Linked DNA regions of Xenopus tropicalis. The protein of the gene in region 3 interacts with the protein of the main gene of each other region in a biochemical or structural test. Links are inferred from orthologs where the notes say so. Each region holds a gene or a part of one and is shown on either strand. Other genes may lie near its edges.

What was found.
Region 1: of the proteins of mapk1 (region 3) and srebf2, one has a biochemical effect on the other in vitro, tested with the Homo sapiens proteins (2 studies listed by BioGRID). The link is inferred for Xenopus tropicalis from reciprocal best matches to the Homo sapiens genes MAPK1 and SREBF2.
Region 2: of the proteins of mapk1 (region 3) and dusp3, one has a biochemical effect on the other in vitro, tested with the Homo sapiens proteins (2 studies listed by BioGRID and IntAct). The link is inferred for Xenopus tropicalis from reciprocal best matches to the Homo sapiens genes MAPK1 and DUSP3.
Region 4: of the proteins of mapk1 (region 3) and hif1a, one has a biochemical effect on the other in vitro, tested with the Homo sapiens proteins (3 studies listed by BioGRID). The link is inferred for Xenopus tropicalis from reciprocal best matches to the Homo sapiens genes MAPK1 and HIF1A.
Region 5: of the proteins of mapk1 (region 3) and cacybp, one has a biochemical effect on the other in vitro, tested with the Homo sapiens proteins (2 studies listed by BioGRID). The link is inferred for Xenopus tropicalis from reciprocal best matches to the Homo sapiens genes MAPK1 and CACYBP.
Region 6: of the proteins of mapk1 (region 3) and tpr, one has a biochemical effect on the other in vitro, tested with the Homo sapiens proteins (2 studies listed by BioGRID). The link is inferred for Xenopus tropicalis from reciprocal best matches to the Homo sapiens genes MAPK1 and TPR.
Region 7: of the proteins of mapk1 (region 3) and dusp1, one has a biochemical effect on the other in vitro, tested with the Homo sapiens proteins (2 studies listed by BioGRID and IntAct). The link is inferred for Xenopus tropicalis from reciprocal best matches to the Homo sapiens genes MAPK1 and DUSP1.

What each region holds. Positions count from the first base shown.
Region 1 is NC_030680.2:120,124,212-120,128,504, forward strand, and holds the start of srebf2 (sterol regulatory element-binding protein 2), read left to right. Parts: upstream 1-1,493; 5' UTR 1,494-1,640; coding exon 1,641-1,713; intron 1,714-4,293.
Region 2 is NC_030686.2:31,704,126-31,708,384, forward strand, and holds the start of dusp3 (dual specificity protein phosphatase 3), read right to left. Parts: upstream 2,801-4,259; 5' UTR 2,638-2,800; intron 1,996-2,637; 5' UTR 1,952-1,995; coding exon 1,830-1,951; intron 1-1,829. UniProt on the Homo sapiens protein: Shows activity both for tyrosine-protein phosphate and serine-protein phosphate, but displays a strong preference toward phosphotyrosines. Specifically dephosphorylates and inactivates ERK1 and ERK2.
Region 3 is NC_030677.2:154,036,574-154,040,073, reverse strand, and holds part of mapk1 (mitogen-activated protein kinase 1), read right to left. Parts: intron 1,916-3,500; coding exon 1,784-1,915; intron 1-1,783. UniProt on the Homo sapiens protein: Serine/threonine kinase which acts as an essential component of the MAP kinase signal transduction pathway. MAPK1/ERK2 and MAPK3/ERK1 are the 2 MAPKs which play an important role in the MAPK/ERK cascade.
Region 4 is NC_030684.2:101,985,074-101,989,084, reverse strand, and holds the start of hif1a (hypoxia-inducible factor 1-alpha), read left to right. Parts: upstream 1-1,211; 5' UTR 1,212-1,571; coding exon 1,572-1,606; intron 1,607-4,011.
Region 5 is NC_030680.2:98,106,954-98,111,052, forward strand, and holds the start of cacybp (calcyclin-binding protein), read left to right. Parts: upstream 1-1,299; 5' UTR 1,300-1,388; coding exon 1,389-1,409; intron 1,410-3,307; coding exon 3,308-3,518; intron 3,519-4,099. UniProt on the Homo sapiens protein: May be involved in calcium-dependent ubiquitination and subsequent proteasomal degradation of target proteins. Probably serves as a molecular bridge in ubiquitin E3 complexes. Participates in the ubiquitin-mediated degradation of beta-catenin (CTNNB1).
Region 6 is NC_030680.2:119,711,629-119,715,753, forward strand, and holds the start of tpr (nucleoprotein TPR), read left to right. Parts: upstream 1-1,325; 5' UTR 1,326-1,487; coding exon 1,488-1,638; intron 1,639-3,983; coding exon 3,984-4,088; intron 4,089-4,125.
Region 7 is NC_030679.2:41,976,985-41,980,923, forward strand, and holds the start of dusp1 (dual specificity protein phosphatase 1), read right to left. Parts: upstream 2,801-3,939; 5' UTR 2,582-2,800; coding exon 2,212-2,581; intron 1,715-2,211; coding exon 1,566-1,714; intron 1,148-1,565; coding exon 928-1,147; intron 366-927; coding exon 1-365. UniProt on the Homo sapiens protein: Dual specificity phosphatase that dephosphorylates MAP kinase MAPK1/ERK2 on both 'Thr-183' and 'Tyr-185', regulating its activity during the meiotic cell cycle.

The DNA.
Region 1 (4,293 bases), on a different chromosome or scaffold from region 3:
ATTTAGCACCCAAGATGCTGCCAAAATTCTTATTCACTCTCTTATCATATCTCGCCTGGACTAGTGTAACTCTCTGCTTATTGGCCTTCCCCTTCAGAGACTGTCCCCTCTCCAGTCCATAATGAATACTGCTGCCAGGCTCATACACCTCTCCAACCCCTCCTGCTCTGCCGTGCCACTCTGCCAATCCCTGCACTGGCTTCCCCTACCATCCAGGATAAAATTTAAACTAAGTCAGCTCAGTGGCAGACACATGGAGCAGATTTTGGCACTAAAATACGTAAGTATTTCTGCAACAAAATATACAAATATCCGTGTTGAACTTTAGTTCTGTTCCTGAGTACTTGCACTCACTTATAAGCAGTTCCATTCTGTGGGGCCCAATGTTTTTTTACCTCATGAGGCAACATTGGGCGACTACTACTTCTTACTACTACATTCTCACTGGCAGGAAAGCATTCAAGGAGATTAGTTGCCACAGTTAAGGCCCCCATACACGGGCCGATAGAAGCTGCCGATATCTGTCCCTTGGACCGATTCGGCAGCTAATCGGCCCGTGTATGGGCAGAAACGAGCGGCCTGGCCGACCTATATCTTGCCTGAAATTGGCCAGATATCGATCGGCCAGGTTAGAAAATCCAGTCGGATCGGGGACCGCATTGGCTCGTTGATGCGGTCCCCGAACCGACTGCCCCATGGCCGCAACTGTAATCCGATCGTTTGGCTTTTTTTTTTTTTTTTTTTAAAGCAACTTGCTACCCGATATCGCCCTCCCGTAGGTGGGGATATTGGGTAAAGATCCGCTCGCTTGGCGATGATCTTATAGTGTATGGGGACCTTTAGTTGAGATCAATTGCAGGGCAACTAATCTCATGTCACTTGCCCAAGACACAGTCCAGAATGAGCACTCACATAACTGCACCAATACAGCACAGGTTTTTCATTCTATTATAACATATAGTACAATATTATTTCACTTCCTTAACAGCTTGTCTAATAACATTTCCTTATTAGCTAGTTGCACCTTTCACAACGAAACTAAATTACTCCTTTATTTTCTTCTTAAAACCCAAAGAACTGAATAAGTAACACTACAGCGGCGTTTCTCTTGCTAACACCGTCCCTTTTTATTTCATGGGCTTCCCAGCAGCAGCAGAGCAGTGGCAACACCTCACTGAATGTCCCCCGTAGGCGTGCTCCTAAATAAACCACACAAGGCGGGCCCCTATGCAAATACAACATCCCCTGATCACTGACGTCGTATCACACCACAGCTTGTCAAGCTCGCTCATTCGTCCGGGGCGTCTGGTCTCATTGACAACAAAACATCCAGCACGCGTTTGTACAAGGCAAAGAGGCGGGGCATTCCGCTTACTCCCGCGTCAGGCGGCCCAGTTCTGTCAGGGTGGGGGAGGGGCGGGGTGCGTTTCACGCCTCTTTGTGGATCCATTCTGGGCTTCTAACCATGGCACTGAAACGAGGTTTGGAAGACATAGGATTGACGTCATGTAGTGTGGAGGGAGGTGGTGCCCAAACATGGCGTCAGTTTTGTCAGTGACAGGTTCGTGAGGTTCAGTAATAGGGAACCAAGAACCGGCTCCTTTCGGGAGCGCTAGGGTTGTCACAGCCCGGGATATCATATGGAACTAAACATGGAAAATATGGAGACGCTGACGGAACTCGGAGATGAGCTCACCCTAGGGGATATTGACGGTAAGAGTGGAACTGAACGGATCTTTCTGCAGGGGGGTGCGGCTCGAAAACATTTCTGTAGTTTGGGAAATAGTAACAGCGTAGCTAGCCTGCTGCTGTCAAAGAGGGGTTGCTGGGAGTTGTAGTTTTACACAGCTCTAGCGGTTTAGGGGACTAGCCGTGTCATTCCTGATATCCAGTACTTTTTGTCCTTATGTTGGGCCCCCATTTCATTGCAGTGTGTGGAATCCATTGAGTAATCACGCCTTTTCTGAGAATATGATTACAAATTCCAGAAGGAAATAATTCATCATTAACTTGTTAGGGTTGTGTTGGCTGTGTTGTTATATACCTTGTTATATACCTTGCCGGATTAAGGTTAGTTACAGGCATTGCGCCTGGTCTGGGCCACTTGGGCTGGAAAGGTTTGGGGGGGAAGGAGATGCAAGTCTATGTAGGACTGTATATTTACTGTATATTTACTGCATTGATGCTTTAATGGCTAGGGCATCTGTACCATATATATATATATAATATAGCAAGAACAAACGGAGCACACCCTATAGAAGTTCAAATGCCCAGGGTGCTAGCAAAAAATATAAAGCAAGAAAGTAAGCTGCACACACCAGGACTTGACAAAAAATAAATTTATTTAAGAAAAGAGATCCAACGTTTCGAGCACTCACTGTGCTCTTCCTCAGGGAAAAAAAAGCTACATCCATAACTGAGTAGCTGCTTTTATCCTATGTCCATACACTCTTTTCTTCTATTAGATTGTATTTGTGGGTAAAGGTTCTGCTTTCCTGTGACCTGTCCTTTTCTAGCATTCTGTGTGATTTGGGTATTTTATTTTAATTAATTTCCCAAACCAAGAAGGCTGACCTGTTTATGTAGGTTGCTAAGTATTACGTAACCACCCCCTTTTCCTCCTGCTTTACTCTGAGATGAAGATCATTTGCATCTGAAACCTAATGACGTTTGTCATTTGCTCATAATGAATTTAGTTTCTGGACATGAATTGGACTAAAATGTCACATTTTGTTATAAAGGCAACAAATCAGTTAAGCAAAAGTGCCAATCATCTTGCATTCTTTATAATAGAATGCCTTACCGTCCCCTAGATTTATAGCCTTCATTTCAGGCTTAAGCAACAGGGATAGCAGCTGCTGGTGTTTGAGGAATAAGCATCATGACTGATACCCAGTTTCAGTATATGTGTGTGGTACCTTGTCTTTCCAAAGTATTTAATGGAGTCCTAAAAAGATTTTACTGCAGGTCCAATAACAATGTATTTTTCTGCTGAAAACATAAATCAAGTGCTGTTTAGATATAGAGTTAAACAAAGCTTGGGTCTCAGTATTTTACTGCACTTACCTTGATGTTTGGTTGGTTTTTAGGGCAGGTGATGCTGAAGTCTATGGGGCTGATTCACTAATCCACAAATCCGAATCCCGAATGGGAAAAAATCGGATTGGAAACAAACATTTTGCGATTTTTCGTAAATTGTTGCGACTTTTTCGTAGCCATTACGACTTGCTCGTAAATTGTCGCAACTTTTTCATAGCCATTACGACTTGCTCGTATATTGTCGTGACTTTTTCGTATTGAGCGCTCGTAAACGGCGGGCAAACCTTTGCGACTTTGCATGATTTTGGAAGCCTCCCATAGGACTCAATGGCACTCTGCAGCTCCAACCTGGCCCAAGGAAAGTCACCCATAGGGCTCAATGGCACTCTGCAGCTCCAACCCAGCCCAAGGAAAGTCTCCCATAGGGCTCAATGGCACTCTGCAGCTCCAACCTGGCCCAAGGAAAGTCACCCATAGGGCTCAATGGCACTCTGCAGCTCCAACCTGGCCCAAGGAAAGTCACCCATAGGGCTCAATGGCACTCTGCAGCTCCAACCCAGCCCAAGGAAAGTCTCCCATAGGGCTCAATGGCACTCTGCAGCTCCAACCTGGCCCAAGGAAAGTCACCCATAGGGCTCAATGGCACTCTGCAGCTCCAACCTGGCCCAAGGAAAGTCTCCCATAGGGCTCAATGGCACTCTGCAGCTCCAACCTGTCCCAAGGAAAGTCTCCCATAGGGCTCAATGGCACTCTGCAGCTCCAACCCAGCCCAAGGAATGTCTCCCATAGGGCTCAATGGCACTCTGCAGCTCCAACCTGGCCCAAGGAAAGTCTCCCATAGTGCTCAATGGCACTCTGCAGCTCCAACCCGGCCCAAGGAAAGTCTCCCATAGGGCTCAACGGCACTCTGCAGCTCCAACCCGGCCCAAGGAAAGTCACGATACTGAAGCTTGAATGATTCCGAAACTTTCATACTCGGCACGACGGCTACGAAAAAGTCGCTACAATTTACGAGCAAGTAGTAATGGCTACGAAAAAGTCGCGACAATTTACGAGCAAGTCGTAATGGCTACGAAAAAGTCGCGTCAATTTACGAAAAAATCGCGAAATACCGACCATTACAAAAAAAACACGTTCGGGCGCTTTTCGGACGTTCGTGGATAGGTAAATGTGCCCCTATGTATTAACACTGAAAGCAGATATGCAGTGGATAGAAATAAATACAGGCAAAGAACAGAAATTGTTTTTGTGCAT
Region 2 (4,259 bases), on a different chromosome or scaffold from region 3:
CTACACAAAACCTTTACATAGGCGTCCTTATGCACAGCATGAATGCACAGGCGTGCAAACTAATGCAGTGGTCAATAGAGGAAACCATCCTAGATTTGTAACTAAGTCGTTCTAGTCCTTCCAGTGATTCCATTGTTTACTCTTACTGATTGTTCCTGTTTAACTCAGCTTGAATCCTACTTCTTTGGCTTCTCTCTTTGATCACCTCACTGCCCACTCTCCACAGCACTCCTCCTTGTATTCAATCTCGGGTTAGCTTGTGTTATTTTAAGGATCAATTTTATGCTTTACCTACTAGCAAGCTTTTTAACTTGTTTATTAATGACCTGGAGGTGGGCATAGACAGTACTGTTTCTATTTTTGCTGATGACACAAAATTGTGCAAAACTATAAGTTCCATGCAGGATGCTGCCGCTTTGCAGAGCGATTTGACAAAATTGGAAAACTGGGCAGCAAACTGGAAAATGAGGTTCAATGTTGATAAGTGCAAAGTTATGCACTTTGGTAGAAATAATATAAACGCAAACTATCTACTGAATGGTAGTGTGTTGGGGGTATCCTTAATGGAGAAGGATCTAGGGGTTTTTGTTGATAACAAGTTGTCTAATGCCAGGCAGTGTCATTCTGTGGCTACTAAAGCAAATAAAGTGCTGTCTTGTATAAAAAAGGGCATTGACTCAAGGGATGAGAACATAATTTTGCCCCTTTATAGGTCCCTGGTAAGGCCTCACCTTGAGTATGCGGTGCAGTTTTGGGCTCCAGTCCTTAAGAGGGATATTAATGAGCTGGAGAGAGTGCAGAGACGTGCAACTAAACTGGTTAAGGGGATGGAAGATTTAAACTATGAGGTGAGACTGTCGAGGTTGAGGTTGTTTTCTCTGGAAAAGAGGCGCTTGCGAGGGGACATGATTACTCTGTACAAGTACATTAGAGGGGATTATAGGCAGTTGGGGGATGTTCTTTTTTCCCATAAAAACAATCAGCGCACCAGAGGCCCCCCCTTTAGATTAGAGGAACAGAGCTTCCATTTGAAGCAGCGTAGGTGGTTTTTCACGGTGAGGGCAGTGAGGTTGTGGAATGCCCTTCCTAGTGATGTGGTAATGGCAGATTCTGTTAATGCCTTTAAGAGGGGCCTGGATGAGTTCTTGATCAATCAGAATATCCAAGGCTATTGTGATACTAATATCTACAGTCAGTACTAGTGGTTGTATTTATAGTTTATGTATGTGAGTGTATAGATTGGGAGGTGTGCTGGGTTTACTTGGATGGGTTGAACTTGATGGACACTGGTCTTTTTTCAACCCTATGTAACTAACTATAAGTGTGACAGCTTCAGGGTTTCTGAATAACAGATCCCTTACCCTGTATATACAATTAAACATCTGCAGTCTGGGGAATGTATGGCCATCTTTAATTTTATGCTAACTTTTAGCTATTGAGGAGGGCAAGCAGCACAAGAGTTTGTGGCATTCTGCTTGTGCAAATGTTGCGACCCTTTAATACAGTTCCTCATGTTATGGTGACCCCCAACCATAAAATGATTCCTAAGACCATCGGAAATATGTGTTTTCCGATAGTCTTAGGTACCCCTGTGAAAGGGTCGTTCGACCCCCAAAGGGGTCCTGACCCACAAGTTGAGAACCGCTGCTTTAAAGAAAATAATTTCATGGTATTCCTGTTGGCGTGTTTTACAGTGATACAAATAATCAGAATCTCCGACTGTTCTATGAGGATTCCCAAAATCAAAATATACTCCCCCTAGGTTCTCTGCCTAAACCTGTATTCCCCCCCCCCCCTATTTCCTTTAACCATACACAAATGTAACTTACGCATCACCCACGTAAATTTTGGGAAACACCTCGTTGAAATGTTCTGATGGAAAGCAGTAACCGCCATCTTCTTCTGCTAGCAGATCATTTAGAGCCTGAACAGAGACCTCATAACCAGACATGGCCAAGTGGGTGAAGCTTTCTTTGCAGCTTAGAGCCCTCCGAACTTTTGCAGGGCAACAAAAAGAAAAAAAAAACCCACATCAGGGGGTTTAAAGATATGAATATTGTTCCCTCCCATCCCAACTGTCCCGATTTTCGCGGGACAGTCCCTCATTTGACAGCTCAACCCACAGTCCTGGATTCTTACTCATTTCCTTTTGATCCCCTGCACTGAATGCCAAAAAAGATACAAAGTTTCTGAAACTTAATTAGATAAGTAGCTTTTGGCAGAGAGCCCAGAATACTCAACACCTGCACTGAGAAACAATTGTAACTAATAAGCTAAACAGGTCTCTTGGGGAAACTGAGACTTGCAGCTTAATGGGCAATTTCAGCTTTTTTAACCAAACACATAAAACAAGACCCCAAAATCCCCAGAAATGTGTTCAAACTTTAAATAACCTGCCAAATTTAGTTAAATGGGAGTGTTATTTAGGGGGCGTGGTCACAAAAATAGGCGTGGCCAAAACATTTGTCCCTCTTTCCCTTTTCAAAATGTTGGGAGGTATGTCCCCCACAAAAAAACCCCACTCAACACCCCCCAAAAATTAAGCCTACAAAAAAAACTTAGTACACTTACAAAAAAAAACCCCTCAGCACACAAAAAGCTGCCCCCAATTCCCTCAACATATTAAGGGCAACACACCTCAGAAAGATGAGATCTGCAAATATAAACTGCTCTGTAACCCCCTCTCTGTGTAAAAGCTGCAGCGTCCGGGCAGTACTACCCGCTAGTCACACCGCGGCGGCGCTTTACGGCCCAATACACTGCCCCATGTGACGGTGACGCTGCGCCCATAGGCAAGTGACTTGATGAGAGGCCGGCCCGCTGCTAGGAACTAGCGGTAACCTTTAAAGCATGGTGTAAAATTCCGGAAACGCACAGAAAATGAACCGGAAACTGATGTTCGCCACGAGTGTGAAACACGGACTATTTGGTGAGTGGAATGCGGTGTTATTAACATGTTCCTCTGGGGAAACATTTTACGTTGCAGTTGGAAACTAGGGCACAGCCCTGCATAGTTTTCTTTTCCGTGAAAGGGTCGTGTAGAAATAACGCAGTGTCGTAAAATTCGGAAAGCACAAGCATGTTAGTATTTGTGTCCGCAGGCAGCTCACTGGGACGCACAGCCGGGCTGTATGGCTGCAGAGCTGGGGGTGTTGTTCTAGTGTATGTATCCCCTTATTTACTGTGTTCCCTTCACTTCAGGCCTGCCTGAAAGCAATACCACTCTCTTTTGCCTGATAGTCATCATTCGTTAGTGTTGCAGGTATAACAGTGAGTAATACAGTATCCTGTACCCCCAGAGGTGCTCAGACAGTATTATCTATCAGGCAAAACTTTTGTTTCCTGCCTTTATTGCTCCACCTGCCCAGCAGGATCTGTGGCATTTTCACTGCAGCTGCACAAAACCTTCTCTGGGACAAGATTTACGTAAAGAAGATGATAAATGGGAACATATTGTGTGAAAAGCAATATTGTGCCAATAAATTGTCCTCACAGGGTCGGACTGAGGGGTGCAGGGCCCACTGGGGCTGGTGCCCCCACTGTCCCCCCGCAGGGGCCCCCCTAACACCCCCCTGCATGGTCCCCCACCCGACAAGTTTAACGCGTCGGGAGGAACTGTCCAGCGCACGCATAAGTTTAACGCGTCAGGGGAGGAACTGTCCTGCGCACGCATAAGTGTAACGCGTCAGGGGAGGAACTGTCCTGCGCACGCATAAGTGTAACGCGTCAGGGGAGGAACTGTCCTGCGCACGCATAAGTGTAACGCGTCAGGGGAGGAACTGTCCTGCGCACGCATAAGTGTAATGCGTCAGGGGAGGAACTGTCCTGCGCACGCATAAGTGTAATGCGTCAGGGGAGGAACTGTCCTGCGCACGCATAAGTGTAACGCGTCAGGGGAGGAACTGTCCTGCGCACGCATAAGTGTAACGCGTCAGGGGAGGAACTGTCCTGCGCACGCATAAGTGTAACGCGTCAGGGGAGGAACTGTCCTGCGCACGCATAAGTGTAACGCGTCAGGGGAGGAACTGTCCTGCGCACGCATAAGTGTAACGCGTCAGGGGAGGAACTGTCCAGCGCACGCATAAGTGTAACGCGTCAGGGGAGGAACTGTCCTGCGCACGCATAAGTGTAACGCGTCAGGGGAGGAACTGTCCTGCGCACGCATAAGTGTAACGCGTCAGGGAAGGAACTGTCCAGCGCACGCATAAGTGTAACGCGTCAGGGGAGGAACTGTCCAGCGCACGCATAAGTGTAACGCG
Region 3 (3,500 bases):
GATTTGCAGGTCGGCTTGGAGAAGTGAGAGGTCAGTTTTCACCTCCTCAAGCTTGGAGGATAAAGCTACTCGGCTGTCTGTTAGCTGCAAGGACAAGCTGGATTGCTTGTTCCTGTAGAGGAAACGGGGCATGGGCCTCTTTGTCCTCTCTGGGTGGGGTAGTGCCGCCATCTTGTGTAGGCTGTCAAAAAAACTGTCCCAGTTTGGCAGCGGCTTCTGCTCATGATATTTGTGCCTTGTTGCCACCCATAATCTATATGAAGTCAGATGTTGTATCGTGGCTCAAATGTTGGTGTGTAAGGTCGCCTAGAGAGGCAAATTCAGGATAGTTGCGATAGAGCTCACAGGCACATGTCCACTCAGGAAGCCATGCAGGCCACGCCCCCCCTTAAATCTCTTTTAATTCGTTTACAAACCCCTTGTTAACCAACATTTCATGCTGAACATGTAGAGCACCTTGATTCCCCCCAAAGCTAGAATTTCTTTGACAACATATCAGTAGGGAGAATTGGGAGCTAACTGATCTTTTTCTATTAAGTGCCCCATGAATCAATTGTGCAGGTAAGTATTTGCCTGGCTTATGGTTTATAAAAGATAGTTTAGAAGACACAGTGCAATATAAAAATGCCCTATTCTGCAGGCAGGTTTGAACTGACAAGTGGAGAGACTGCAAATTAATGCACTTTGTGGTAAACTCCAATGCAGATGTTTTTAGGCTTTACTTACTCTAAAGGAGAAGAAAAGCTACTCAGGCATTTTATTGCCAATAGATTAGTCACAATAGTTTGAGCTGGAATACTATATTTATTCTTCAGAACTCTTTATGATACCTGAGTAAACAGCCCTAGAAGAGCCCTCTGTTTGTTTAAGCTGCTGCCATTTTAGCTTGGTGTGACGTCACTTCCTAGCAGCAGCGTACAGGCAGGGAACAGCTCTCAACTAAGATTACAGTACAGAGGCAAGGGAGAGAGAGCAGAAGGGAGGGCAAGAGGAGCAAACTGAGCAGACTTATGCTGTGTCCTAAAGGATTTTTCCAAGAGAAGGAAGTCTGACACAGAATATCATGTATACAGAATAGAAGGAAAGAAATTAATTTTTTTTCACCGAGGACTCAGAGAAGCAGTTCTGCAAGTGTTTATGGCTGTATCTACATAGACCTTTCTTAAAAAGCTTACTTTTTACCTTTCCTTCTCCTTTAATATGGTAGCTACAATATTATAGCCAACACTGGCTATATGCTTAAAACTGTAAATCTTTCTAATGGTCACAGTAAAAAATATTTCAGTACGCTGGATAACATTAACACAAAGCAAAATATAGGAATAAACAAAAGGATCAATCTACTGTATAGTCAGATTCAAAATACACAAACTTGTATTACCGCTTCTTTCAGCCTACTCAGTTGAATCAATGTTCAAACCTGCTTAATGGATCTTTGTAAACGACCAGTATATTGATTTTAAAAACAGCAGAAGTAGACTAATAGTAAACCTTCTATTAAATATAATTTGCATCATAAAGTAAGTATTAGAGAACACATTACTGACAAAGCTTAGCTCCTGGTTTGACTATATCAGACAGTAGGAAATTATTGTCCCTGATGCATTTAATTTATGAAAAACCATCAATCTCTTACTAATTCTGACGACTGTTTTAACAGAGCACTTAATGCAACCAATAGGTTGAAACAAGTGGCATACAGTTTAAAAATATATTATTCCTTGGAACAGTAAAATCTTTCCCTTTCATCCCCACCCCCAACCAAAAAATGAATTCAAATTACCTTTAGGATCTGCATTAGGGAAAAGTCTGTTCCATGGCACCTTATTTTTGTGAGGAAGGGAAAGCAAGTAATTCCTAGCTTTTAAATTGATTATACAGTTTAGGTCCTCTTGAGATGGAGATCCAAGAATTCCTGAAAAATACGGAACAGTTAACTTAAACATACAATTATAAGACACAGCAACCATGAAAATCATGTAAATTATATTCTTAGAAATGGTTGTTAGTAATGTAATCAGTTATAACAAGTGCTTACTAATGCAATTTGTGTCACGTGACTGCATGAAACATGATAAAATATACCCCTTCTTTAATATGAGGGTCAAGTCAGAGGTCCATGACCTAAATGACCTTTATCCTTGTGCCTTTATATGGTCATAGAACCCCTCGTTGCTTCTAATATATTATATTTATGAAAGCTAGACTCCTTTTAAGCTGGGTGCCAAAAAGTGGTCTGCAATACAATACTGTCCAATAAAGGTGGACCGCAATACAATATCAGTGTTGCTATAAATTTTACCAAGCAGGAGTCAGTGCCTATAATGATAACCTACTGCTGTTCTTTATGGTCTCATTGACCCTCGCAAGCAATGGAATAAATGGAACCATGTTTATATAGATTACGGATTGGGTTGGAGAAAAAAAGACAAAGACCAAAGTCCATCAAGTTGAACCCCTCTGCACATATATACACACACTTTATACCGATCTATGCACGTATATACGCACGTAGCTATAAACTATATAGCTGGAGCAGGAACAGACTGCCTGTGACATTGCAAAGCCCTGCCCACCCTATGCATATTCACTGCACTTTAAGTAGCTGCTGCTCTGTTACTGAAGTCTATCAGGGCCCCAGCCACATACTGAAGAGTCTAAACCGGAAGCTTGCAAAAGGACTGGGTAGAGCACAGTTTTCAAGCAGTTATGGGCATATTTGAACCAAAAGGTATTAAAATAAACGCACTTACTTCTATTTGACATTATTTTACATGGTTGAGTGCATTGTAAAAATGTATAGTATTTGTCCCCTTTAACAGAATCTGCCATCATAAATTCACTCAGCAGGGTATTCCACAACCGCACTGCCCTCGCCATGAAAAATTTCCTACTCTGTTCCAAAGTTCTGTTCCTCTAATCTAAAGAGGTAACCTCTGGTGCATATGAAAATCAGAACAATTATGAAATGACCACAGCATCTATTCTCATAAACAGAGGATTCCGAGCTGCCACCAAAAAGTTCTGGCAGCTTCTGCTGAACTAGGGAGTCAAAAGCATGTTGACTGAGAACCTACTCACCTACAGTTTAACAGCTAAGAAAGACTGCCCACTTTTTCTGGATTCTGGAAAGTAAACTGCCAAAAGGGTACTATGTCAAAAGCAATGCTATGTCCCATGTGAAGATCAGTACTGTCTCACGGCCAGCTGGTTTTGGTGCCTTCCTAATGAATCAAGCAAGCTGCCGTTGTGGCACATCCAAACCTAATCCACACACACACCTAGCTGGGGAAGGAGGTTCGCTGTACCAATGGCTGTTGCACTGCTTGGAATTCTAGAATATAGAAGTAGCTTCATTTGCTGAGGAGACCACAATGAATAAGGCACAACTAGGGCTAAAAACTCTCAACTTACATCACCTTTTTATACATACTGGGAACCTCTATCGGGGAGATTCTTTCCCGATATGCCTAACCGAGGTGACCGATATTGGGCTGAAC
Region 4 (4,011 bases), on a different chromosome or scaffold from region 3:
CCTCTTTTCCAGAAAATACAACCCCAACTTCAACAGTCTCACCTCATAGCTTAAATCTTCCATCCCCTTTACCAGTTTAGTTGCAGTCTCTGCACTCTCTCCAGCTCATTAATATCCTTCTTAAGGACTGCATCATCCCTTGAGTCAATTCTCTTTATTATACAAGACAGCACTTTATTTGCTTTAGTAGCCACAGAATGACACTGCCTGGAATTAAACAACTTGTTATCTACCTCATTTTCCATTTTGCTGCCTGGTTTTCCAATTTTATCAAATCACTCTACAAAGTGGCAGGATCCTGCATCCTGCATGTGTTTTGCACAATTTAGTATTATCAGCAAAAATAGAAACAGTACCGTCTATGCCCTCCTCCAGGTCATTAATAAACAAGTTAAAAAGCAAAGGACCAAGGACTGACCCCTGCGGTACTCCACTAACCACACTGGCCCAATTAGAAAATGTTCCATTTACCACCACTCTTTGTAAATCTATCCTTCAGCCAGTTCTCTATCCAATTACAAATATTATGTTCTAGGCCAATATTCCTCAATTTTATCATTAACTTTTTGTGTGGTACTGTATCAAACACTTTAGCAAAGTCCAAGTAAATGACATCCACAGCCATTCCAGAGTAGAAGTTCCTGCTCACCTCCTCATAAAAGGCAATTAAGTTAGTCAAGATCTGTATAAAACCATGCTGGCAAAAACGTACTGTTTTTTGCATTCAAGTATTCTTTCCCTTATTACCCCTTCCAAAAGCTTTGCTAGTCGATGTCAAACCAGCAGGCCTATAGTTTTCAGGCTGAGAAACGGAACCTTGTAATGAGGCCCAGATGCACAAAATGTCTAATATGGACTCAGCCCAGCAAAGCAGCATGCCATTTGTACCACGCACCCACTACTGCCAGTAAACCGGACATTTAAGAGCAGTTTTGAAATCCTAGTTCTACAACGACAATCCTTTTCCTGCAGTTAGTCAGCAGTGCAAATAAACTTTTTCAGACAAAAACGTCAGGACAACACGAGTTCTCAAAAGTGGAAGGACAATATTTTAATATATAATCCCTTATTTGCAGCAGACATTGCATTGTAAAGTTATACATTAAATTTATTGGCACTGGGCATGAGTGGGTTAAGGCTCATCCGACAAATCGGCCTCCGCCCCCCTCCCACCGAGACCAGGGAAAAGTGGGCAGGGCAAAGCCGCCGAGGGCTCGGTCATGTGTGAGCCTACTGATTGGCTGCTGCGATCTACGTCGGCGGCAGCTCGAACTGCACACCCACTCGGTGACGCAAGCACTTTCCCCGAAGCGTTTTGTTTGCGTTGAGTTAGAAGTCATCGGCCGAACCGGGAGAAAAAAAAGAAACACCGCGATCGTACGGTCGGATTGAGCGGAGGGATTGCGTCAAAAAAGAGTTCCTGCCGGTGTTGTCGGGGTCTGACCTTGCGAGCGCCTCACGCCTGTGGATTACAATAGCCCTTTCAGTAGGGCCCTCGGTTTCTGCGTGCATAGGACAAAACCCTCGGCGCTTGACACAGCTCCGGAGCGTCCCTCCCCCACTCGCTTGGCATGGAGGGATCTGTAGTAGCGAGCGACAAGAAAAGGTGGGTGCTCCGCCTCTGTGTGCGCCCTCTGACCTGCTGTTCCGCTGTCCGAGACCCCTGGCCTCACACCCTTTCCTTTAGTCAGGCCATTGCAATGAATGAGCTATTGATTCCATAGGGCAGAGTTGTAGATCTGAGCCACAGGTTGAGCAGAGAAGCACAGGGCCTGCCTGCCAACGCCGCTTGTGTTAGTCCGGGCAGCAGTGGAGGCTGCTGTGGGGCTGAGTGTGCTAACAGCCGGAGGGGCCGCCACTAAACAAATGTTGTTTTCATTCCAACTCCAACACTAATTTGTTTCCCATCTGTACTAATGTTTGCCCTTCCTGGACCTTCTGCGTCGCCATTTTGTGCGAGACTTCCTAAGTTTCTGCTGCTTCCCTGTTTGCTTCAGCTTTTATACTGAGCCGAGTGCCAGGCTGCTGTGAGTGTAATGGCAGCCCCACACACCAAGGCCTCTCATATCGGTTATTTCTGTTTAACTGATTATAACTAGCAATGTACCACATTCATGTATGTATTCTCCACTTACAACTATTATTCTGTGTGTATGTATATATACATACATAGAATTTGTTTAAGCATTGCTAAACATTTGTACCATACTTTTTCTGTGATCGTAATATTTAGTCAGGACACTATTTGCAGGGAGTGGGAAATGTTAGTGATACTAACTCAGGGGTGATTATTATTATTATCATTAACATTTATGTATAAAGCGCCAACATATTCCGCAGCGCTGTATAATAAGTAGGTTTCATACATTGGACATACAGAGTAACATATAAAGCAATCAATAACCAATACAAAAGGTGGAGAGCCCTGCCCAAAAGAGCTTACAATAGAAGTGTATTAGATAGTCCTGGAACTTTTGTAGGGTGGCAGTTAAAAATACGTTTTCACATAGGTGACAGTTTATTGATCCATACAGGAGCCACGTTCAGCAGGGTTAAAATATATTCAGTTGCTTCCATGTCGTTTGTGGCATAGGATATGCACATATTTTAGCACCATAGCAGTATATTAACTTGTGGGGTATAACCTTTATTTACTGTAACTTTGTAAGGTCATATGTAAAGGCATGAGAATTGTGATAACTATGCCAGTCAGTCATGTGATGTTGAGTTGCCGTAATGTATTTAGAGCAAGAGTAGTATGTCTCCCTCACCCAAATGTTGTGTAAGCTAAACCCATGTTTCTGGCTCGGATGATGTTTCTAAACTTCAAAGTTGTGTGATTGCCATAGTCTCCTGATCTATCTTGGGAGTTCATAGAACACCCAGAATTGCCTCTTATCTTATTGAATTTACACATTGTATCGCTTCAATGTACACAGTGCTCTACATGTCATAAACACAAACCAAGGTTATAGTTATCATAAATTAGACAGTGAGAATAAATCAATACTTAAAGGAACTGTTCAAAGTAAAAATAACACTGGCTGAATAGGCTGTGCAAAATAAAAAAAAAAAAAAAATGTTTTTACTATGGTTCGCTAAAAATGTAATCTATAAAGGATGGGGTGAGCGGATGTCTAATGTAATAGCCTGAATCTAGCTTCCTGCTTTGCATCACTCTAAACTGTTAGCAACTAGAAGGGGGGCCACATGGGACATCACTGTTCAGTTTGTGTGCTTTTAATCCTGACCTGCCTGCTCATGGTCAAAGTCAAACTAACTGGACAGTCGCTGACTAGCTAACAGGTTAGAGAGAAGCAAAGGAGTTAGTAGTTTTCTGGTGTTTATTTAATACATCTTTTCACTCCAGCCTCTATATATTACTTTTTTTGGCTAACTTTTTTAACAAACAGACTATGCAAAAATGTAAATAAATGTTTTTAATACAGTCAGTTGGGAAAAAATGTAATAAGAAAGGCTGGCATGAGCAGATGTCTAACATAATAGAATTTAACTTCCTCCTTTGCATTTCTCTAACCTAGATAGTCAGTGACTGTTAAAGTAGTTTGTGAGCACACAGGTCAGGGTCAAAGGCGTTTGCCTTTGACCCTGAACAGGTATGTCCGGATGAAAAAAATCTGTGTGCTTTTTAGTACTGTTTGATTCAGTCCTCTTTAAGCAGTCATTTGAAGTTGCCTGGAATTTGGAGGTCTGCTTGAGGCCATAGTTGGATTGCATTCAGTTACCAAATCTCAGCATGCACAAGGCAGTAGGAGTTGATATATTAATTTAATATCCATTCAGGCTGATTTATTGGTAATTACAGTATATTTTTCCAGGGTCGAAGGGACCTTGTATGTAAACAGGCATAAATACTAGAAAAGTGTAGGAAAAGTTAGGAAAGCTCAGTGGTAACCCCCCCAACTACATGTAAACGTGTTTCTTGCTTGAAGTTGGATAGTTTTAACAAGCAACCAAGATACACTGGCATTAAAATTGGCCTGGGTATAA
Region 5 (4,099 bases), on a different chromosome or scaffold from region 3:
TGCAGAGCAACAGCACATTATATTTGAATTACTTTAAAACACTTTAATTTTTTGATGTTACTGTTCCTTTAAGGTTTCTGTACTGTGTTTTGCTGGAGGTTCTCAGAAAAAAATCTTGACATCATGAGTCACTCCTGTCTCAAGGGCATATTCTAGAGATACTGTTTGTTGTACACCAAGACAGGTAGTTTCTCATCAAAATAAAAGGTGATATTACAGTATTTCCCTGTTGGTTGAATTAGGGTTTCAGATTAACCTATACAAATCATTTCTAGTTCCATCCAGTGGCATAACTTGGCTGCTCCAGGCCCCCCTGCAAAAAAAAATCTTCTAAAGGGGCCCAGGGAGACCAGTCCCTCCACCACCTCCTGACCCTCTCACATTGCCCCACTCCCACAATATTTTAAGGTAGGAGATGGGCTGGGGAGACTATAGTACTGCAGACCCTGTGGTTCTGGCCCCCTTGCAACCACAGGGTCTGCTGCCATTAGTTTCATCCCATCATTCTCAGCACTGCAACCTATATACTCTAGGTACCCACAAAGACATTTCAAGCCATTCTGACAGGAGTTCTTGCTACAAAACAGATTACTCAAAAATGTCTGGCTGCAATAATCAGTGTTGGACTGGTCCACAAGGATACTAGGAAAACTCCCAGTGGGTCCAGGTGTCAGTGGGCCTTCTTGCTTCTATTTAGCCAATTGCATGGTCATTCCCTATTTCTGTATGGGAAAAAGAGATGGAAGGCTACAGCAAAGAAACTTGTATAATAAATAGGTTAAGCCAGCAGAGGAGCAGTAATCTTTAAAAAAAAGGGGGCCTATAGTCCAAGGTTTTCTGGTGGGCCCCTGGCATCTCAGTCGGACACTTGCAATAATAATAACACCAGACTTCCACAAAGCTTCTATTTACTGCAGAAATCCTCAATTTATCTTAAGTTACCTCCTTATAAAAAGAATTTATAAAGCTAGATGCCGGAGTCATGACTATGACAGGTCACAGATATATGCCAGCATTGCTTTCTCTCTGCTGAACGGGCCAACTACGCAAGAACAGACGGTTGTCGCTCGTAGGCATAGAGCTTTGTCTTACGCAATATAGGTGGGCTGGGCATTGGCTAGGGGAAAGGCTGGGCATTGGCTGGGGGAAAGGCTGAGCATTGGCTAGGGGGAAGGCTGGGCATTGGCTAGAGGAAAGGCTGAGCATTGGCTAGGGGGAAGGCTGGGCATTGGCTAGGGGGAAGGCTGGGGCCGGGAAAGGGGCGTGTTGCTAACGTCACGAGTCGCTGCGGAAGGTTCCAGAGAATCCATGCTGTGAGTAAGGTGTGTGCCTAGTAGTGCCTGGGAGCAAGGTGTGTGCATCGTAGTATCTGTGCGTCTGGTCCAGAAATGGAATCCGTTCTACAGGAGGTGAGAGGGCTCGATGGTCGCACCTAATGAGCAACTGACTTACTGTCCGCAACATGTTAATGAGAGCATTGTTCTGCGTGGCTCTGTGGATGTCACTAAGTTCTGCTTGGCTAAAACGCTGTGTTTATGTATAGTGTTCTCTTGGGGCAGCGATTGGGTTAATCATGGGTAATACGTTTCATAGTACCAGCAGGGCCCCCAGATTTCCTGTTCCTATAAAATAAGGAATAAATAATAGGGGGCACCAGTTACAGTTATGCTTATTTTTCCCATTAGGTTATTAGTTGCAAAAAAATCAGTAGGGTCTCTGGGCACACAGTTATTGATTCTTATGACAAACCCTTGGGGTGGGCGCAGTTTGTTAACTTCTTTCTCCCCCCCCCATCTAAACTCTGCACTATTGGGATAGAATACCCCTCTTTTTCCACATTGGTTAAATAAATAGGTTTTGTACTGAACATTTGTCTTGTCCTTTTCATTAGATAATATATATATATAGATTTTGTTATTTCTTGCTCTTAAAACAGAAAAATTAGAAAATGAAACTGAAGCCACATTCTACTCTCCGATCCCAAGGATCAAATCAAATAACCAGCAGCCCACTGAGAAGATTCTGTATAAACAAACCCCTCCTGTCCCCCAGAAACAGCCTGTTATTTTTTTGGATAAAAAGCAGCTCATTATACAAAGGCTCCTCGGTGGACTGCTGGTTTGTTTGGAATTGATTCTTAGAATCAGAAAGTAAAATGTGGCTTTATTGTAATTTTAAAAGTTTTGCCTAACTGAAAGGCAAAATGTTTTGCACAAGTCCTATTTATTGCAGCAATGTTGATAAAGGGGGTATACTGTACCTTTAACACTTTTTGTTTTGTGAATTGCTCACATGAAAATTGCATGAAATGTGCCAAGCTGCTGCTCAATTTGTTCATGTTGTGGGGCTTGAAAAAATGATTAGGGCTGCACAAGCCTGTATTTGTTTGTATATATGCTGCTGTGCCACCTTATCACATAGAACAGATTAGTTTTAATGCCTTCTTTGGCTGAATTTTATTGCAGTTTGTAGTGTATTGACGATGTAGGAAAGATCTTAAGTCTGGCAAATATAAATGTATCTGTGCCTTTCCTGTCTTCCCTCTGCTTTGCAGTCTTACGGATATAAAAGTGAAAGCAAAACTAAAGGTGGCCATACACGTGGCGATCTGACGATGTTTCGTACGACCATCGGTCGCACGAAACATCGTAAGATCCGCCACACACCATTCAGGGCTGAATCGGCAGGTAAGGAGGTAGAAACAATAGGATTTCTACCTCCTTCTGCCGATTCAGCTCTGAAGGGAGAATTTTGGTCAGGCGCCTTCTATGGCGATATCGGTCGACTCGCCGACATGCCATACACGCACCGATTATCGTACGAAACGAGGTTTCGTACGATAATATCGGTGCGTGTATGGCCACCTTAATGGAAACTGTTGTAAACTTTTCTCTTACCTACAGCAACCATTTAAGCAAATGTATCTGAAATTAAGCTCATTTAAGGAGTCCATGTCACCAACACTATGGGATATTTTTATTTATATAGCACTACTTTTGCATGCAGCATTGTACAGCAGAACAATACATAAATAGAACAAATGTGTCATTTATAAATACATAGTAAAGGTTTATTAAAGATTAAGTGCAAGCAGAAGGGGGTCCCTGTCCTGTAGAGCTTACAATCTAAGTGTACGTGCCATATCCCCAAGACTGATATAGGTATGACTGTTTTATTTTCCCAGAGCATGTTGGCTCTTGTTGATTACTGGCATTTTGATGTTTTCCCAATATTCTTAATTAAGTAATAAGACTGTATGCTGTCTATTTATAACGCTATGTATTAACCAAAGCAATTTATTATTCAGCTTCAGAAAGACTTGGAAGAGGTGAAACAGCTGCTTGAGAAAGCCACAAGGAAACGTGTGCGGGATGTGTTATTTGTTGAGCAGCGTAAGCTGGAGACAGAAATATCTACCAAACAGCAGCAACAAGCAGGGGAATCTATGGAAACCCAAAAACCATCAGCAATTGTTCCTCCAATGACAAGCACGTACACAGTCAAAATAAACAACTATGGTGAGAAAAGAGCTGATCTGAAAGAAATAACACATTTTTTGTAGGGCTAATAGATATGTGACACTGTTTAAGGCCTTTAAGAAAAACATTTCCCCAATACTACTTCTTTTACTTACAATCTGGCATTTAAAAAAAAAAAATCACTGGGGCTGTCAGGTTGTTTGGGATGCCCCCCCCAGTTATTGTAGTTGCTAGACACCTATGCCACCGTCTTGTTTTTTGTGTTTCAGGCATCCCTTGTAATATTGAAGCTAGGCTCATGTATGTATGTATGTATGTATGTATGTATAACTTTATTTATAAAGCGCCACAAGGGTATGAAGTATCTTTTTTTGATTAAATTTTCCTGGTGTGCATCAGCATTTTTTACACATTTACATTGTTTATCTGATTTGCACCCAGGTTGTAATCCACAGGGAATAAGTGCTGTGTGGTATGAGACACAGTAGGAAGGAGGTCCTTGCCCCGTAGAGCTTACATGTGCAGTACAGAAATTGGGAAAAGTTCTGTACTGCATATGCACAGGTTTGGGCTCTTCTAACACAGTTGCCACCCCCATCCAGTATCATAACACACAAGAC
Region 6 (4,125 bases), on a different chromosome or scaffold from region 3:
CAGTGCATGGGCATGTCCATTAGGTCCCCCCATTCTGGCACATACACACGATTCTGGGGATGATTATTTCCCTTATAACAGTGTCCAAAAAATGGTGCTTGCTTGCTGTGACTGTGAAGTCCAAGACTGAAGGAAGCAAAATTAAAATAATTTATATAATGTAAGTATATTTTGCTCAACTAGTATGATAGAATATAATTTGGCATTATTTCTTAGGGTGACAGGTCTCCTTAAATATCCTGGAAAGAGTGCTGAGACGTGTAACCTAACATAAAAGGGATGGAAGAATTAAAATATGACTGTGAAAGCTGGAGTTGAATTCTCTGGAAAAAATGTGAATTAAAAGGGGGAATGATTACTCTTCACAAGTGCATTCTGGGGCATTATAGACAGATAATAGGGGATCTTTTCTCCCATAAAAATGCTACCTGTTTAGATTTGAGGAACTGAACTTTCACTGTAAGGGCAGTGAGGTTGTGGAATACCCTGCCAGGATAGGTTGTGGTGGATGCAATATCTTTATTACAGCACAAGTGGATTATAAATGAGATATTTCTGACAAACAACTTTGTGCAAGGCTAAAGGGGTAGATGCCTTGCAGCACTGCTTGAAGACTGTAGGTAAAAAGCCCATTTTTTTGTTTGTTTGTTGGTGCACCAGTGAGCACATCAAAATAAGGCAGTAAATATTATAGGTTAGATGTTTATATTGAGCAATAGCCAGTTTATTCTTTTTGCTCACCCCCAATTCACCAAAGCCATGTAACCAAGGGACCGTGACAGCTGCTTTATTAAGTCCAACAACTGTTCGCTACAGTAGCTCAACGCAGATAATGAAAGGTGCTACAAGCAACAGGTCTGCATTTTCTCTCCAGGAATCTGGAAACTGCTGTTATGAATCCAGATTTTCACCCCCGATTGCTATAACAAACCAAATGCTATCTGTTTAGCCTCACTTCTGTACAAATAGCAGCTAAGCGTCCCTTACCTCTCTCTCCCAGCCACACTGCTGACTGGGCTGTAGAAATTGCCCCCCAATCAAAAGTCGCCTTTCCCTCTGACTCACAATCATACGCACCCTCTTCCCAGTAGCCATTTTTGTTTTGGTCAAACAACTCTTCTAAAATATAAAGACTATTGGCGCTGTAAAACAAAGTAGCACGGACAACTAGCGAAGTGGTGACTGTGAACTTCAGAAACCATTTTAGACTTGTACTCAGTAGTTTTTCCCTACTCAAAGATAATCGCTGTTTCTGAAGAAATTGCGAATTCCATTGACGTCATCACATCGCGACACCCTTGGGTGCTATATTTTCCCAAGAACCTCTAGGCTTGGAAAGGCTGTCGTCATAATTATGCGTCAGCCCGTGGCGCCTTAAAGAAATCCTCAGTTCCCAGCGATCTGTGCGTTTCCCCCCTCCGGTGGGTATCTTCTGTGGCAGTATCAGTGGCAGCGCATTTCCCTTACCAGCTCACGCTGCCGGCAACATGGCGGCTGTTCTGCAGCAAGTGCTGGAGAGGGCTGAACTGGCCAAGCTGCCCAAGGCTGCGCAGACGAAACTGGAACGCTTTTTATCGGAGCAACAAGCCGAAATGGAATCCGTGAAAGCCCGACACGAGAAGTTCCGGGTGGATTGCGGTACGGACATGCGAGCGTTCGGTTTCTGGCAGGTTATCGATTCTCATGTGGGGAATTGCAGGCAGAATGGCCCATGCGGTGCATAGATCTATATGGCTACAATTTGTCTGTGCACGTTTTTTGCCCCCGGTGGTCTATGCAAAGCACAAGCAATAAAGCTAGTGGCTACTTTTATACCTTTCCCTCTGGGCACAGGCATCTGTGGGGCTATGGGCAGAAGGGGCAATTGCTCTGCTTTCAGCATCTCCGGGGCTTCTTAGCAGATAAGGTTTTCCAACTTTCTGGCGTCAGTTTATGTATAAATGGTACATAAACCGTATCTAAGTTTCCAAAAATAAATATGAATGTCAAAGGGAACAGTTCCTTCTCCCCATTAGACTGACAGTGTATTGCAACATTGTTCCATTGTCAAGTTATTGCTTTTGGAACTTGATGTCCCTGTTTTTTATGTAGGGTGATGCACCAATTATCTGGAAAGCAGAGGAGCTTTGAGATCCAGAGTCCCTCACTATGGTAAAAGAAGTGGTTTGCTTTCCACTGTGAGTCTAAGGCAGGGGTGGGCAAACTTTTTGGCTCACGGGCCACATTTACTTACCCCCAGACCAGACCAGGGCAGGACCAGGCCAGCGTTACGCCCCCTTAGTCTGTTTAATTCCGGCCCGCCAATGACGCCAAGTCTCGCGTGATGAGACTTGGCGGCGGGCCGGATTAAAAAGGCCAAGGGGCCGGATGTGGCCCGCGGGCCGTAGTTTGTCCACCCCTGGTCTAAGGGAAGCGGCCCCCAACCTTTTTAACCCGTGAGCAATATTTAAATATAAAAAAAGTTCCTGGGCGTGAGCCTGTAATTGGTTATTTTGTAGCCAATATGTGGAGGGGCAGAGTACAGGAGGCTCTGTTTGGTAGTACCCATGGTCTCTATGTCTCCAGGGCAAATTAAACTAATGAGCACCTGTTTTTAGGCCACGGGGAGCAACATCAAAGAGGGTGATGAGCAACATGTTGCTCACGAGCCACTGGCTGGAGATCGTTGGTCTAAGGGTTTGGGAACTGGTCCCAAAAAGCACATACATAATATCGCTATAAGTAAATTTATATTTATGGAAGTTCAGTCTGTGTTCATGCACTTTTTCTTCATAAGCCCAGCTAAATAAGCTCATTTCAAAAAGGTGTGTATTTTCCCTTTAGATCTGAAGTTTGGGCATCCCTGACTTATATGATTTCCCCAGCAAGCTGTGTAGCAAGGATCTTCAGAATTCTGTTAGACCCTGAAAATGGATTAGGAATTATCTAGCCACCCTAACCAGTGCAGTTTATAGCGATAAATGGTTCCTCAAGACAGGCTTACTTTGGCACAGGGACCATTTATATTTTATCAAATATCGGATGTGTGAATTTTGCACTTTAAAATGAAACAATAGAAATGGTATCATGTTAAATGATCATGTTATATTGCAAACACAAAGGGGGCATTTACTAACATTAATATTTCCCCCCACCCCCAATGTTTTTTGCGCTAAAACTTATGTGGGGGAAAAAAGGTAATTTTTTCACCATTGCATCAAGACTGGGACCAATCCTTAAATAAAGATACGCCATCTAAATGCTGTTGAGGGCATGTAGAAGTCAGTGGGCAGCTGTCCTTTTTCCAGTTAGAAGATCCATTGAAAAACGCAAAAAATTTGAAATGATCTTTTCATCACATCATATTGTAAGGTTCTGGACAGAAGGACTAACTAGCTTTCCCTACCGTGAACACAACTGAAACCTGTCTGTTAAGGAATCTTAGATAGTATAATTGCTCGAAATACCTCCCGGCTGCCCTACAGAATACTGCTGTTTTATGCAAAAAAAAAAGTGGAATGCCCTGGCTGGGCCCTACTTTGCCCACCATTACAGCCTGGAAGAATTTGGTGAACACGGTCATTCCTCTATACATACCTCCTGTATCAGACTATGGGTGCATTGGATAAATTTGACAGTTTATTGGTCCCTGGTGTGATTTGAAGGGTAACTGAGGAGTTTCATACCCATATACATCTCATGACTCCGGGACCCAAGCCTCCCCACTTCTTTTGACACAACCTGAGTACCTAGTTTAGTTGGTTGATGGACCTAATACACAAACTACTGCCAGGTTTACAATCTGTACTGTTATACCCATCCTTTTAATGCCTGTAATGAACCCTGGAGATTATGTATATTGCAATTGTATAATTTGAACTGGAAAATTAAATACTTGCATTTTATCCCATTGTATTGTCAGATGCGCTGCTTTTATGTTTTGTGTTTGAGTTAAATGATAAAATACACCTTTCAAAAAAAACAATAAATATATATTTTTTTAGATCAACAATACTTTGAAATTGAGAAAAGGCTGGCTCAGTGCCAGGAACGACTTGTGACTGAATCTCAGGAGTGTCAGAATCTGAGGGATCAACTAAGTAAACAAAGTATGGAACTGAATAATCCGTATATGTTTATCTGTTA
Region 7 (3,939 bases), on a different chromosome or scaffold from region 3:
GCTTGGCGATGTAGTGATGGGATTCTGAAGGTAACTGAGAGAGCTTGTTCCTGAGTGGACAGGTATGGAAACAGGAAAATTGAAGACTGTGGTAGTGGATGTTCCTCGGTCTAGAACAGATATTGTAGGGCTACCTGCTTCTGCTGAACATGATGGTGCTAGCACTTGAGACTCAAACTGAAGAAGCTGTCCCATAAAACTGAAGTTTGGGGAGATTATACTTCTCCGTTGCTTGACAAACTCAAATGCTTCATCCAGCTTCACACGGTTGGTTCTCATAAGATAGGCAAGACAGATGGTAGCAGATCGGGATATACCAGCTTGGCAGTGGACAAAAACCCTTCCACCGGAATTTTTTACTGAGTCTGGGAAAAAACAAAACAAAGGTTATTTTTGGGAGAACTTGTAAAAGATCTGCAACATGATAACTAAAATTCTTTTCATTTCTCCTACAGCTAAAACTGCAATTATTTTTTAGTCAAACCTCAGAGCTACATGAGCACATACAATACTAAAAACAGAGGTCTTGCATACAAGCCTGAGATTCCACAGATGAACTAGTCCTATTAACCTATTTACAGAAGAAAGTATTAAGGAGTAGGTGTTTATGTGTTGAAACGTGTATGTAAAAAAATATACCAAATATTTAAATACATGTTTAATAGAAGTTTAATAAACACATATTAAATATATGTGAATGAATGTAGTCCAAGATTGTGAAGAAACCATACTGGTAATTGGTTTTACCCACTAGGGGGCAATCTAACTCTCCCTAAGATTACAGCTGACCACTGAAAACATTAGAAAGTAAGAAACTGAATGTTAATGCATAGCACGTAATAATAATATTGCTACACAATAATATTGCTGCACTTTTGAGGAATGGTCTTCTATATATTGACAAGACAAAAGTGAGTTTCGTCTTACCTATGAAATCAATAGCTTCATTGAACCACGAACTGATGTCTGCTTTGTGACTGTCTTCCACGGGAATGCTCTTGTACTGAAAGTGTCCCTCAAAGTGATTGGGACAGTTTGCTGATACATTGATGAGGGCTGTAATGCCAAGGGCGTCCAGCATGTCTTTTCTTGATGCATGGTATGCACTGCCCAAATACAGGAAAGGCAGAATCTCCACTGGTCCCCCCTAAAATACATAAGCAAAAACAATATGGTAAATATAAGAACCACTAAGTAAATAATGTTTTGTTTCATTTATATACACAGGGATTGGCGAGTGCAGCTAGATTGTGCCAGTTTTATCCACTGCCCAGGCATTATAGAACTGTTACACTCATGTCTGACTTTTACATTCAGTTAAGGAATTTCTTTTGTAAAATTCTAGTTTATGAATTACACATTTCCTATATGGCTGTATGCTAAAGAGTAGCTATGCACTGCCAGTTTTCATTGTTCTGGGATAAAAACAAAACAAAGATCTTTATCAGCAATGCGTGTTGGTAAATATTCAGTGAATAGCCTGGACAGAGATTGTGAGGGGGGAATTTTTACCAGTTTTTGCCATTTAGAGAATGGCAGGATTAACGAATAGAATAAATACTAACCTGGTCATAGAGTGGAGTTCCGCAAGGAGTGCAATTGGAGTCAGCACTGCCTGGCACATTGCTGGTACTAAGAGGCAAACTCAGGCAAACTGGAGGAGAGCTTTTGTTGCAGAATTCTGGGCACTGTGAAGAAAATGTCTCATAGCCACCTGAAATACACAATAACATGCGAATGGTTAGATATGTACACAGAAGTTGAACAGAGGCTGTAATTGCATGATTTGTTACACATTGCCCTTTAAGCACTTGTTTTCTAAGTGGCCACATTGATCAAACACCTAACTTGCCTTACTTGTGATAATGTCACCCAAGTGCAAGCTCTGAGAATGGGACAAATCTGAATTGCAGCTAAATGACTAAATTCAGGGTGGTAGGTAGGGGTCATACTGCACTAAGTGCATTTGTGAACACAAGCCTCACTCAGCAGCCACAGGGAGATACAGAGTTGCCACTGAAGTGCACAAAATGTTACATATAAACACTGTCAGTGTCAGGACTGGACTTTGATATGGAGGGCCCCTGAGCACTGGAGGAAGGCTGGGTCCTGATCTGAGGGAAATTCAACAACAGGCTGGCCACCCCTGACGTTTAAAGTAGAAGTACCCAACAATACACATTTATCGGTGAGAAGTGGAGCTTAATGTACCTTTTAGGAAGTAGATGCTGCTGCCCCTGGAGTCCCTACATAGGGCATTAACTGCCAGCATCATGGTACTGTCCTTCCTTAGCATGTCCAGCTCTGATGTCCTCTCATCCAGCAGCACCACCGCCTCGTACATCCCAGCCAGCAGCCGGCACCTCTGCTCCTCATTGGGGACGATGTGCTCCAAGCCCATGCTGCCTTTAGCTCTCCTCTTCACTATGGTGCTCAGGCGAACATTGCTGGAGCCAATGATGTTGGAGGAGCTGAAGGAGAAGAACGACCTACAGTCCAATATGAGGCATTTGTGGGCTCTCTCAGCTAACAGTCCTTTCAACACGCAGCAATCCATAGCGCAGATTTCCATATTGACCATAGTTAATGTGCCGAACAATCCTCAACAATAGGCTGCTCCACTCTCCCGCTTCTTTTACGCTCCGGCGCCTCTTTGATCCAATAAAAGCTTATTAACTGTTAAAAAAATAAATACTGCTTTGATCTAAACGTTTTATCTAAAACAAGCCAGACTTTAAAGTTGTGTTTCTTGGTTCCTTCTTGTTTCTTACGGTTACTTAAAGTTGATGTTTCCTTGCTGGCTTGAATTCTTGCTAGAGCTCGGCTAGCTAGCCTCCTATTTATACAGGGCAATGGGAGTTGTTTTATGAATGGTTTGTATCACGTGGGTCGGTGACTTCAGCGAGTCTAGCCACGCCCCTCCTGGCAAACCCCGCCAAGTAGATTAACGTCATCAGAGCCTTAGCAGCAAAGTCAAACACTCTATACACACAAACGCTTCAGAGCTGTCATGTTGCCAGAGCAGGAAATAAACTGCTGTAACCTTAACCCGTCAGAAGGAGCTCAGTGGAGCCCTCAGGATTTTATTTAAATAAGAGGCACGAAGTGTTCTCAGTATTTTTTGTAATACATCACAAACTGATGAATTTTTATTCATCACTGATTTATTCTAATTTTTTTTTTGCTTATTCGTGTGTACTACTTTTTCATTGGTGTGATGTCATACGTGAATGCTCTGTTTGGAATGAAGTTAACACCACAGCTTCCATATTCTATAATCAGTTTCTATTTCACTTTTGGTGATCAAGATTTGTTACTGTGGAATGTTAAGAATTACGTCCCGATATGAGGCAATTTACCCCCACCCCCCAAATAAACTCAGTTCTGGATTTATGATGATTAGGTCCTGCTCAGTACCAGTTTCACAGAGAATAAAACTATTTGCAGATGGTACTTATCATTCATGCGATTTTTCTGATTAACATTCTTAAAATACTTTTGAAAGCCCTTTGTTTGGTCCTCTGGTTTGCTAACGATTTGCTGTAAAATATGTGGGTTAATCCACTGAGCTTTGGAAAGATGGAAAAGGCATTTGATCTTTTCACCATATCCAGCACATCCATAATTATTATCTTCTAAAGAAGGCATCTGACAGAGTGGGGGGGGGGGGGGGGGGGGGCAATATAATAGCAGAATAGCATACACTACACACACGAGTTTACAGCTTGGAGACCCATCCAATAAACCTTTAGTTTTCAGCAATTCTTGTGAGCCAAGGCCTGCAAAAAGTACTTAACCACACAAAGAATTGATTTTATTAATCAAGATTTTGCAATAGAGGCAGGCTGGATTGAAAATGAGCTCTATGGCTGGGAGTGGATGCTCAGCCTCAGACCGCTGTTTTTTTGCATCAGAAATAATCAGAATTGAGTATCAGCT